3 linked regions of the Cricetulus griseus genome follow. The protein of the gene in region 2 binds, or shares a complex with, the protein of the main gene of each other region. Links are inferred from orthologs where the notes say so. Each region holds a gene or a part of one and is shown on either strand. Other genes may lie near its edges.

What was found.
Region 1: Lamtor4 (region 2) and Fnip1 share a complex: the UniProt entries of both Homo sapiens proteins name them as parts of the lysosomal folliculin complex. The link is inferred for Cricetulus griseus from reciprocal best matches to the Homo sapiens genes LAMTOR4 and FNIP1.
Region 3: Lamtor4 (region 2) and Lamtor2 share a complex: the UniProt entries of both Homo sapiens proteins name them as parts of the ragulator complex. The link is inferred for Cricetulus griseus from reciprocal best matches to the Homo sapiens genes LAMTOR4 and LAMTOR2.

The regions. Positions count from the first base shown.
Region 1 is NC_048600.1:68,689,413-68,692,934, reverse strand, and holds part of Fnip1 (folliculin-interacting protein 1), read right to left. Parts: intron 577-3,522; coding exon 461-576; intron 1-460. UniProt on the Homo sapiens protein: Binding partner of the GTPase-activating protein FLCN: involved in the cellular response to amino acid availability by regulating the non-canonical mTORC1 signaling cascade controlling the MiT/TFE factors TFEB and TFE3.
Region 2 is NC_048597.1:116,737,365-116,741,612, forward strand, and holds the start of Lamtor4 (ragulator complex protein LAMTOR4), read right to left. Parts: upstream 2,812-4,248; 5' UTR 2,775-2,811; coding exon 2,682-2,774; intron 2,421-2,681; exon of another isoform or gene 2,415-2,420; coding exon 2,334-2,414; intron 1,925-2,333; exon of another isoform or gene 1,833-1,924; coding exon of another isoform or gene 1,791-1,832; intron 169-1,790; coding exon 51-168; intron 1-50. UniProt on the Homo sapiens protein: As part of the Ragulator complex it is involved in amino acid sensing and activation of mTORC1, a signaling complex promoting cell growth in response to growth factors, energy levels, and amino acids.
Region 3 is NW_023276806.1:65,955,269-65,959,554, forward strand, and holds the start of Lamtor2 (ragulator complex protein LAMTOR2), read left to right. Parts: upstream 1-1,476; 5' UTR 1,477-1,569; coding exon 1,570-1,637; intron 1,638-1,938; coding exon 1,939-2,101; intron 2,102-3,915; coding exon 3,916-4,005; intron 4,006-4,246; coding exon 4,247-4,286. Other genes in the region: Ubqln4 (ubiquilin-4), read right to left, coding at 516-623. UniProt on the Homo sapiens protein: As part of the Ragulator complex it is involved in amino acid sensing and activation of mTORC1, a signaling complex promoting cell growth in response to growth factors, energy levels, and amino acids.

The sequences.
Region 1 (3,522 bases), on a different chromosome or scaffold from region 2:
ATGCTTACAATAATGTATCTAAAACAAATTTAATAAGTAAAACATGAACACTTTTTTTAGGATTAAAAATTTAAGTTTAATTCCCTCTGCCTATATTCTTGACAAGCTACAGGAATACTGCAAGGGTCAGTGCACCTATATTAAGGGTGACAGAAATCTGTTTTTTGTTTGTTTCTGGTTTTCTCTGTGTAGCTTTGGAGCCTGGCCTTGAACTTGCTCTATAGACCAGGCTGGCCTCGAACTCACACAGATCCTCCTGCCTTTGCCTCCCTAGTGCTGGGATTAAAAGCGTGCACCACCACAGCCTGGCTTGAAATCTGCTCTTCTAAGATAAAAAGAAACGTAAACACTAGTAGGGCACAGCTTCTTGTAGGAAAAGGCACATAAAAACAAACAACAAATCAGAGGAACATGACAAGGGACACAACAAAGCCAGAAAAGAAACCATGAACATACATACCCAAGAACTACTCCTAGCTCCTTGACATGAACACGCATCTGTCCCCTCAGGTACTCAGACAGCATTTTGCTCTTGAAGTATAATTCCTGCAACCGGTCTTCAAGGTGCATTACACACTGTGGTTAGGGAAGAACCAAACTCTGTTAGAAAACAAATTCTAGCAGTCCATCGCTTCAACCACTCGGCCACCTAGTCAGCAAACAAATTCTAATTCTTTTGAGTAATGTCAAATTCCTTTCCTTATAGGAGACAGGGCATGAGGGATAACAACAGAATTTTGTAATGTATCTGAGGCTTGCTTTGAACTCCCTACATAATTCAGGATGGCCTTAAATTCTTGGGTGCTGTATTAGAGCACCACACCCAGCTAGCAAACTTCAGAGCATCAAGTTTTGCACAATTCCATTTGGTCATTCCAACATGAATTATGTTCAGAAGAAATTAGGTATGCAGTTTTAGACAAAAAGGAGCATAAACCTGTTTCTGGTTAATATCAAAGATTAACTCCAAACACATTGTTCTTTTTAAACTGCAATAAAATTTACCATCTTAACCATTTTAGATGTACAGTTCACCAGCATTTCAGTTGTTGTACAGTGATCATCAATACTCATTTACAAGACTTTAAAAACATTTTAATTTCAAATCTGATAAATGCATACATACTCATATTTCAAATATATATATATATATGTGAGTATATACCATATTCTCTGAGTTAAAAACAGTTTACAACAGTTCAAAGAAGGAACAATAGAACTTGCTGAATGAGGTTTATAACCTAAACAGTAAAACTTAAAAATACCTACATTTGTATTGCAATTAATTTATACATGTTTCCTAAAAGAGATGATTTTTTCATATAATTGATATTATATGTTTGAAAGGAAAAATGTAAATATCAACTAATAAACACTAAAGTTCTTTCTAATGAAAATGATCTGCTAAAAGTGTCTGATAACAACTTGTTTTATAAGGAGCCAGTGGTAATTAATGACTTTAATCCCAGCACTCAGGAGGCAGAGGCAGGTAGACATCCAAATTGGAGGTCAGCCTGGTCTACAGAGCAAGTTCAAGTTCTAGGACAGCCAGCACTACATGGAAAAACCTTGTCTTGGAAAAACCAAACCAAACCAAAACAAAACCCCAAAACCCAAAACTTGTTTTATTACTGGAAAACACAACTGAATTGATGCAGTGGTTTAATGATTGTGTTGTGGTTATGTATCTCATTCATAATTCTTATTTAGACTAAAACTGCCTTAAGAAAATGTCAGCTGAAGAATATGTATATGTAAAAACAGACAACACAATTTACCTCATTAACTATTATTAAGGTCTGTGTAATAGCTCTGGTTGTCCAGGAACATGCTTTGTAGACTAGGCTGGCCTCAAACTCAAAGAAATCTGCCTGCCTCCCCCAGGTGCTAGGATTAAATTCATGCATGCAACACCAACACCCAGGCTTTTATGGTTTTTGTTTGTTTGTTTGTTTTTCTTCGAGACAGGGTTTCTCTGTGGCTTTGGAGGCTGTCCTGGAACTAGCTCTTGTAGACCAGGCTGGTCTCGAACTCACAGAGATCCGCCTGCCTCTGCCTCCCAAGTGCTAGGATTAAAGGTGTTTGCCACCACCGCCTGGCTAGGCTTTTATGTTTTTTATTTGGAAATGGGGTCTAATGTATACCAGGGTGGTCACAAACTTGCTATAAAGTCCAGGCTGACCTTGAACTTTTGACTCTCCTGTCTCTGCCAGCTAAATGCTGACATTACAGGTACCACCACTCTTGGTTTAAGAGGTGCAGGGGATCAATCCCAGGGCTTTGTGCATGGGAAACAAGCACTCTATCTAGGGTATATTCCCTGCCCCATTACAGAACATTCTAAAATGCACAGTTGAATGACATTAAGAATATCTACAATGTACAACTATAACCACCATCCACTTGAGAATTTTTTTTATCACAAACTCTTTACCCAATAATAACTTCTCCTTTCCTCTTTCCTCCCACTTTCTAATAACTACTACTTTAGAGATAAACTATTAAATTTACAAACTTCTGTGACATAAAATAAGAATGACAAAGTGATTCCGTAAACATAACACCAAAACACAGGCAACAAAAGTTTTAGTTCTTAAATATTATAGGTCTTTCATCCAAGTTGATCTCATTTTTTTTTTACTGCATGAGAAAATATAATAAAACATATTCAAAATTCTAATACCAATGCATCACCTATAACCAAGGGCTAACTTACTCTGCCAAAAAATCTGAATATGTTTTCTCAATATACACTCTGAATAAAACATCAAGTAGTTAAAAACATATATACACAGTTTTCTTCCACTAGGTGGAATTTTAGACAAACAAATCAATTACCAATCTAACCTCCACTCAACTACTTCATAGAAAACTAACTCTACTTCATGTTTCTTTTTTTTTTGTTTGTTTGGTTGGTTTTTTATCTCATTTTTAAATATGGCATAAAATAAGGATTCAAGAACATTTTTTAATGTGCTTTTTGTTGTTAACACTTTTCCTTGTTAAATGTGGTCTTGGCCCTATTACTGAAACTAATCCTATATGAGAAGGTTTAATTCTGGGTTCTTCAATCTATAATGAATGAAGAATGAATCTGTCTATATTCTGGTCTTCATGCTATTACCACCATGTTTCTATTGTAGCAGCACTCTAATTTTTGAAATTAGGAAGTCTGATATCTCTAATTTTGCTGTTGTTTTTTATTTTGTTGGTTTTTTAAAATAGGGCCTCCCACAATGTAGCTCAGATCTGGGAATTACAGGAATGTACTACCGTGCCTGGCTACTTTCCTATCAAAACTACTTTGGCTCTTTGGGCTCCCCTGATGATCTATAATATGACTGGATTAGGAAGGGCTTTTTATTCTTTGTAATAATTTTTGTTGACTTTCTTTTTATTTTATTATATAGCTGTTACTTGCATGTATGTGTGCGCACCATGTGCATGCAGTACCCACAGAGGCCATCAGATTCCTTGGGGCTGGAGTATAGGTGACTATAAGCCATCATGTGGTGACTTAGA
Region 2 (4,248 bases):
AGCCTGTAGAAGCAACCCTCCCCATACCTCCACCAAAAGCAGGAGCTCACCAGACAGGCGCTTGAAAGGGACGTTTGTGCCATGGTGCAGCCGGAAGCCACAGGCTGTGCTGACCAGCTCTGAGATGGTACTGGCTGCCTGCTCATCGTTCTCAAGGTCCCCAGATGACTGCATGTGGATGGAGGAGGGTAGGGGCAAAAAGTAAGAGCCTAGAGTTTGGAACAAACTCAAGGCACAGGCCATCAGGCTCCCATACCCATTAGACCTCCCATAGTCCTAAGTTGCCTGCATTGGAAAAATTCTACCCAAAGCTTCTTTATGACGGTGTTGCCTTCCCTTTTGCCATCCTGTTCCTTGTCCTGAAATACCAACTTTTACTTGTAACTCTACTGCTATCAATGCTGTGAATCAAATTTGGGAGTGTTCATTAAATGATCTACCATACCCCCAGCCTCTCTAAGCAGGTGCTCTACCACTGAGCCACACCACTAACCCTTCACCTAGGATTCCTGGCAGATGTCCCAACTCTGAGCTAACTGCCCAGTCTTTAGAGGCTCCACCTGTTCCCAGTCTTCCCACTTGTTGTCCTGTCTGTACGCTATGAAGCAGAAACACCCACTTTATCTTGAAGCTTTCCCTCAGGCTACTCCTGGGATAAATGATAGGACAGTAGTCCAGACTGCCTCAATTTTCTCTTCCCACAACCTCTAAGTGGGTCCATTAACTAGGCTTAGTTCTTTTTGCTCTCAGTTTCCCCATCTGTATATTGGGGTGAACAGGACCTATTTTATGTATGGGCTTGTGAAGGTTTCATGAGAAAACATTGAGAGCATTATGTACCCCATAATAAATGTTGTATGTAAGTTTATCAGTCCACCTTAAACTCAGTATCTACAGCCAGGCCATCAAATTTTCCCTTAGCCACCTCCTTGGTCAGATTCCTTTCTTGAGTTCTTATTTATTCAGGCACCATAGTATTTTTCTGGTCTTCCCAGTTCAAAGTCTTACTGGATGAGTAATGTACCTGCAAAAGTGCTTTCATCTAGTTACTACCAACACATATTAACACCTCTAAGATGTATTCTCTGGGCTGTGGAGATGGCTTAGTGAATAAGAACACTTGCTGTACAAGCAAGAGGACCTGAGTTCAAATCCCCAGTCAGGCATGGCCACACTTGTAACCCCAGCAGTATACAGGCACAGACAGGTTGATTGCTGGGGCTTGCTCAGGGCTGCCAGCCTAGCTCCAGGTTTGAGAAATAAGGCAGAGAGTGCTAAGAGCAGGACTCCAATGCTCTGTACCGGCCTCAGCACATGAATAGGCACACATGTCTGTGCACTTGTGCAGACACACACTAAAAGACAGATACTGTGTTCTGTCCGTGTTCCTTATTGCTACCAGTCTACTTTCCTACCTAGATGACACTCCTGGAACAGTCTTGTAAAACCACTTGAGTGAGTCATGTTTTATTTAAATAACTCAAGATTCATCTAAAGATGTCAACGCTAGCCATAGGAAGTCCTTCACTGTAAGGTTCTTACCACACCATTCTTTCTGCTCAAACCATTTCAACAGAAAGCCACAACTAATCCAGACAGGGCCAGACACACTCAAGCAATTATGTCGAGGGTTCCAAGCCCTAAGTATGCTTTTCCTCCTTCACGGCCTTCTGCCCCTTGCAGCTCAGCTCAATTCCTGCCTCTAAAGGATTCTTGCCATAAAAAAAAAAAAAAAAAAAAAAAAAAGTTCTAGGGGTAGGTGAAATGGTTCAGAGCATAAAAGTGCTTGCCTCAATGCCTGAAGACCTGAGTTCAAGCTTCAGAATCCACATGTTGGAAGCAGAACTCACTCCTTGAAGGTTGTCCTCTGACACCCACCGGCTGTGGCACCCATATGCGACCCCATGTGAGTTTTAAAGATATACTGAATAAAAACATACTACCAAGTGATTAGTTAACAGCAAACTAATTGTATGACTTTAGAAAAGTTGGTAAAAAATGTTTTGAGGCAAGGTTACATGTAGCCAAGGATTACCCTGAACTTCAGCCTGTCTTCACCTTCCAAGGTTTTGTGCGTGCTAAGCAAATTAACTCTCTCCACTGAGCTACACACCCAGCTAGCCCTTTGGTAACAAACCTCTTTTATACCATAAAACAAGAGACTTGGATTCCAGACACTAATTACTCAAGCAGGGAGCCAGACAGAGGACAAAAATAGACCACTGGGACAAACTGGGCAATATGTGAAGGGATTTCTGGCTGTGTATCCCAAAAGGACAACCCCCCGTCCCACCCCGAGCCGTGCGCGCACGCCTCGCTTTCCCACAACGCACCGCCAGTACGGCACCTTCGCTCAGCACCAGGTAGCCAAGCTGGTCTGGGATTCGCTCCAGCCCCTGGGTCAGTGCGGAAGTCTAGTGGGTAAAGAGGCAAGGGGTGAGACGCGTGACAGCCTTGCAGACCCATCCTCCTCCGGGATATGGCCCTTCTACACCCCCCAAGCGGCTTGTAACACTGCGTCCCCACCCGCGGTCATACTGGACCCCGAGCTCTTCCACTTGGCTCGTAGGAGACCCAGGAGGCCTTCCTAGCCCCCTAGTCCCTCCTCGGGGCCCTTCTCGCTCCAGATCCTTGTGCTCCACCCCTTGTGCCATCTAGGCTATTCCCCAGCCGCAGAACACCCAGTGGTAGAGCCTTCTCCATCCCTCTCCGTCGCATCCCTCCCATCTCCGTTCCCTTTGGATCCCAGGAGGTGACAGCGGAGTTCGGGCCATAAGGGGGCAACCGAAGCTTGGGGAACCGGGATGCGGAACCCTAGCGGCGCACGCCCGCGCATGCGTCCTCACTCACCATCGCAGCCGTAGATGCCCGGGGCGCTGGCTACGGGGTAGGTAGCTTCCGGCCCAGGCTCGAGTCATGTGGTTTCACGAGCGGACGCCAGCCCAGCCCTTCGCGTGCCGATTGGAGGGCGGGTGCGTCATCAGACTTCATCCACCACTGTGGAACGCCGCTCCCTAGACGCACTGGCGGATTGGTTGCATTTTCCCCACCCGACAAGAGAGTCAGCGTCGGCGAGTTAGTGGGCGGGGCGGGACATTCCCCACCTCCCGCTCTACGAATGTGCGCATGTGCGCCCAGGGCTCAAGCGCCGAAGAGCAGAAACTGGAGCAATGTAGTGGTGTAGGAGGAATTCTCCTTAGGTGTCCCGCTTCAATCTGGAACGAGAAACTAACGTGAAAGACGATGGGTTGCTGTTCACAGGTTACTTTTCTGTCTTGAGGAGGCTCAAGATCGAAGTTACCCAAATATGAATGTGTAATTAAATTATGTGCATACACACAATAGCATATGATCAACACAAGGGAATAAAGTCCCGGCATACAATGTAGCGTGAGAATCTCGAAAATATGATACAAGATGGAGAAAGCAGGCTGGAGAGAAGGGCTCCAGAGACCACTCAGCTAAATAGCGAGTTCAAAGCCAGCCTGAGGCCTGAGCTACCTATCAGACCCTGACCAATATACATACATTTCTGGCAAATCCACAAAAACTGGAAGCATATTAGCGGTTGGTAGCAGGGCGAGAGAACATAGGGAGTGACTGTTGATGAGTGTGGGTTTTTTTATATATATAGATTTTATTTAAATTAGAAACAATCCTATTTTACATATTAATCCCAGTTCCCTCTCCCATCCTCCCATGTCCCTCACCACCTCCCATCCCCCATCCACTCCCCAGGGAGGGTGAGACCTTCCATGAGGGAACATCAAAATCTGTTAAGTCATTTGGGGCAGGGCCTAGACCCTCCCCTGTGTGTCTAGGCTGAGAGAGTATCCCTCCATGGGAAATGGGCTCCCAAAGTCCATTTGTGCACTAGTGATAGATCGTGCCAGAGGCCCCATAGACTTCCCAGTGCTCCTGACACCCACGTTCAGGAGGCCTGGTTTGGTCCTATGTTGGTTCCCCAGCTGTCAGACTGGGGTCCATGAGTTCCCACTTGCTCAGGTCAGCTGTTTCTGTGGGTTTTCCAGCGTGGTCTTGACCCTTTTGTTCATCACTCCTCCCTCTCTGAAACTAGATTCCAGGACTTTGGCTCAGTGCTTAACTATGGATCTCTGCTTCTGCTTCCATCAGCTACTGTTTGAAGGCTCTAGGGTGGCCACCTTTAAGGTATAGTCATCATTCTCATTATAGGGGACAGGCATTTAAGGTAGCCTCTCTCTCTACTATTGCTTAGGGTCCTAGTTG
Region 3 (4,286 bases), on a different chromosome or scaffold from region 2:
CATTCAACATTATTTTGTTGAGCACCTACGGAGCTCAATAAATCCTTTAGAGCAGAAAACTGAACAACACAACCGTTTCGATGTGCGAGCAGGAAGGATCTGTACGGAGAGAGAGTACCCTCACCACGCGACTCTCCCGGGGGAGCTTAGCCACAGCTCACTCGGGCCACACTGTGCCTCGGCGCCTGGAACCTCCACCAGTAACGGTGGCGCACTCTACCCTCAAGCCGAGGACCCTCGGGGCGCCCGCATGCCAGGTGCCTCTTTCTCAAGCTCCCCCACCACGCCCCCAGCCCTGGTAGCGTGGCCAAACCCGTCGCACCACGCTCGCCGGACTAGCCCAGGCAGGGCGCCCCCTACCCGCCTCGTCTGCCCTCGCGCAGCTCGGATCCCCGTGGGCTCCGCCCCGGCCGGGGGCCCGTCCCGCAGCCAGGCCGTCCCCGAGGTCTCCATCTCAGCGCTGACCCCGCGGTGCGCCGCTCCCGCCCTCCTCCCTCCAGCGCCAGCGGTACTACCTCCTTGACCGAGGCTCGATCGCAGATCACGATCTCCTCCTTGTCCTTGGGGGTCTTGACGGTGACCCGAATCTGGGGCCTCGTCTCGGCCCCGCTCGGCTCCGCCATGCCGCCACCCGGCCGCCCGCCAGCCCGCCCGGCTCCTCTCCCGGCCCGCCCGGCCCGGCTCGACTCCGGCGCCTCCAACTCCCCCTCCCGCCCCTCCCCAAGGCTCCGCCGCCCCCTCCGGACAGCCGCAGCCACAGCGCCCCGGGCGGCCCGGGGGGGCACTGCAGCTGGGGCGGCCCAGGACCGAGCGGGGTTCGCAGCTGGTCAGGGCAAGCTTCTCCGGAGCCCAGAGGGCGGCGTAGCGGGCGCCGAGCCTCGGCGATGCCCGCGGCTCCCCCCCGATCGGGACAAAGGACTTTCTGTGTCGCCGCCTCATCTCTGTTCCCTGGGGTAACTGGGTTTTCTTAGGAGGCGGAATCTCTGCCAGGCCTGGGGTCGTTCCTGGATCTGGACGCCCTTAACACCTCTGCAGGCATAGCTATGGCCCGAGGGGGCCATCGAGGACATCCAGAGACCTGGAGTTTGCCTACGTGGCTTCTCTGAGCCTTGGGTGTCAAGACTGCAGTACCGCACAGAATTGTGACCATCGTGCAATACTGATTTGAAAAATGGCCAAGGGTGTGCCTAGCAAACACAGATCTTTATTATTATTGAATCGCGGGCTGACTAGTAGGCACGAGGGCGCCCTTTTCGTACAAGGGGTTAAAAGTCCTTCCAACGTCGCCTCTGTCCTTGCACTCCCGCTCTCCACCCCCCCTCCCCGCCTCATGGTCTGGCGAGGAAGCCAAACTATAGTTCCCAGAATTCCTTGAGCGGTCACAAGAAACTATAATTCCCAGCTACCCCCCGCGCGGGGCGGGGATTGGGCCAGAGACTCAGTGGGTAGGCCCGGAGACTACAACTCCCAGGGCGCCTCGCAGGTAGGCTTCTGGGCCACCGGAAGCGGCTGGCGAGCTGCGGCCGGCGGTGACGGGGTGTGTGCCGGTCAGGGTTAGGAGACGCAGGCATGCTGCGTCCCAAGGCTTTGACGCAGGTGCTAAGCCAAGCCAACACCGGGGGAGTCCAAAGCACCCTGTGAGTGCACAACAAGGACCCGAGCGGCGAGCGCTGGAGTGGGGCGGCGCGCGGCTGCCTGCAGCAGGGGTAGGGAAGTAGCCCTCCACCGGGAGGAGGCTGGTCGTATGAGCGGCCGTTTCGGGAACCCTACGTAGGGCTCCCCTCGGAAAGGGAAGTCGACGAGTGCGTAGGGCATGTTCCAGGATATATTCCTAGCAGATCCTGGCTTCCTAAAAGCGCCAGTAGCGGGAACTGGAATAGGAACCCAGGCGTTTCACTCTTGCTGAGTTTGTCGATAATCCTTCTCCATCCTCGCCAGGCTGCTGAATAACGAGGGATCCTTGCTGGCCTACTCCGGTTATGGGGACACAGATGCCCGGGTCACCGCGGCCATCGCCAGTAACATCTGGGCTGCCTACGACCGGAACGGGAACCAAGCATTTAATGAAGACAATCTCAAATTTATCCTCATGGACTGCATGGTATGGAGTAAAGTAGGCTGACCTCGAACTGCAGTGATCATCTTTCCTCAGTCTCCCGAATACTAAGATTGCAAGTGTGCACCCCTGTACCTTGCCAAATAAGTAATACGTAGATATTAAAGAAGGAAGAAAGAAAAAGTGAGAGTAGGGTTCAGATAGATGAAAGGGTGACATTTCCTAAAAGATTGGAGGAAGATTGGAGAGGGAAGGGAATCAGCCATGCAGCGATCTGTTGGAAAAATATTTTTGACAGTATGGGACATGGTTTATGCCTCTAGTCCCAGCACTTGAGAGACTGAGGCAGGCAGGTGGATCTCTGCAAGTATTTCCGACAGAAAAGCAATTGCAAAGGCCTTAGGGTAGAGTGATGCTTGGACAAATGGATACTCCATCAGTAAGGATGGTGTACCACAGAATGAGGAGATAGAGCTAAAGAGGCATGCCTGGTTCCTAGCACCCTGGACAGTGATGGCATGCAGATCCGAAGCAGTTCACCTAAGGGCAAATGCCCCTCAGAAAGCTCTTCGTTGTTATTCAGGCAGCCCTTTACACCACTCCTAACCATTGCTGACTCCTGCTGGGGGCTGAATCTAGAGCTAAAGCTCCAAAGACATTCACTACAGCCCTGCCATAATAAGAGTATTTTAAAGAACTTAGGATGGAGCTCAGTAGTGGAGCTCTTTGGGGTCCTAGATCCATTCTCAGACAATTTTTGTTTTTGAGTCAAAGCCTAATATACACATTGATACACACACCTAAAACAAGTTTCAGGAAACATCACTTTTCTTGCTGCAATGTGAAGTCTGTCTTTTTTTTTTTTTTTTTTTTTTGGTTTTTCGAGACAGGGTTTCTCTGTGGCTTTGGAGCTGTCCTGGAACTAGCTCTTGTAGACCAGGCTGGTCTCGAACTCACAGAGATCCACCTGCCTCTGCCTCCCGAGTGCTGGGACTAAAGGCGTGCGCCACCACCGCCTGGCAAGAGGGTTTTTTTTAAAAATAAGTATTTATTATGTATACAGTGTTCTCTCTGCATGTATCCCTGAAGGACAGAAGAGGGCACCAGATCTCATTACAGGTGGTTGTGAGACACCATGTAGTTGCTGGGAGTTCACCTTTGGAAGACCAGGCAGTGCTCTTACCACTGAGCCATCTCTCCAGCCCTGTATGAGAGGTTTTTTGTTTTTTTTGTTTTTTTTGTTTTTTTTTTTCTTCTCTTTTTTTAATTAATTTTTATTTTATGTTCATTGGTGTTGGGGTCCCCAGGAACTGGAGTTAGTTACAGATAGCTGTGAGCTGTCATGTGGGTACTGGGAATTGAACCAGGGTCCTCTGGAAGAGCAGTCAGTGCCCTTAACCGCTGAGCCATTTTCCCAGCACCCCTTTATGAGAGTTTTTCCCAGGTGTTATATATGTGTACCATGTGCATGCATGGTACCCCCAAGGAGGCTAAAAGAAGGCTTTGGATCCCCTGAACTGGATGCACAATATAGGTGTTGGGAATTGAATCCAAGTCCTCTGCAAGAGCAACAAACAAATTGGGTTATTGTTCCTGGTACCTCACTTGTTGAGACAATTCTTGGCATTAGAGAAGAAAACCCATTTCTGGGAGACTTGGTTTCCCAGAATAACTTGATTAGGAATTGCCTGTGCTGAGGCAGTGTCAGGCCCTTATGTATTAAGAGCTGGGCAAAGCTTCCTAGATGAGTTTCCCGCCCAGCCAGGCTTGAAGACAATATCTCTAGGATCAGAGGAGCCCTGGGGAAGGTAGGAACTAAGGATGCCAAGCAGAATGCCTCAATGTATCATCCCCACTAGGAGGGCCGTGTAGCCATTACTCGGGTGGCCAACCTTCTGCTATGTATGTATGCCAAGGAGACTGTAGGCTTCGGAATGCTGAAGGCCAAAGTGAGTACATTCCTATGTTACAACCTTCCTGGGCCCAGCCATAGTCCCTCTTCACTGTGTCCATTCCCTACATGTACCCCTTTCTGAAATTCTCATATCTAGTCCGTGTCTGAAATGGGCTGAAGAGCAGTGGGGGTGGGCTGGGGTCTGGTTGATGCTCATTGTGGGGCAGGGAGCCAATTTGGGATACCTCTAAGCATAGGCCATGCATGGACTGACATGTGCTTTTCCCTCCTTGCAGGCCCAGGCCTTGGTGCAGTACCTGGAGGAGCCCCTCACCC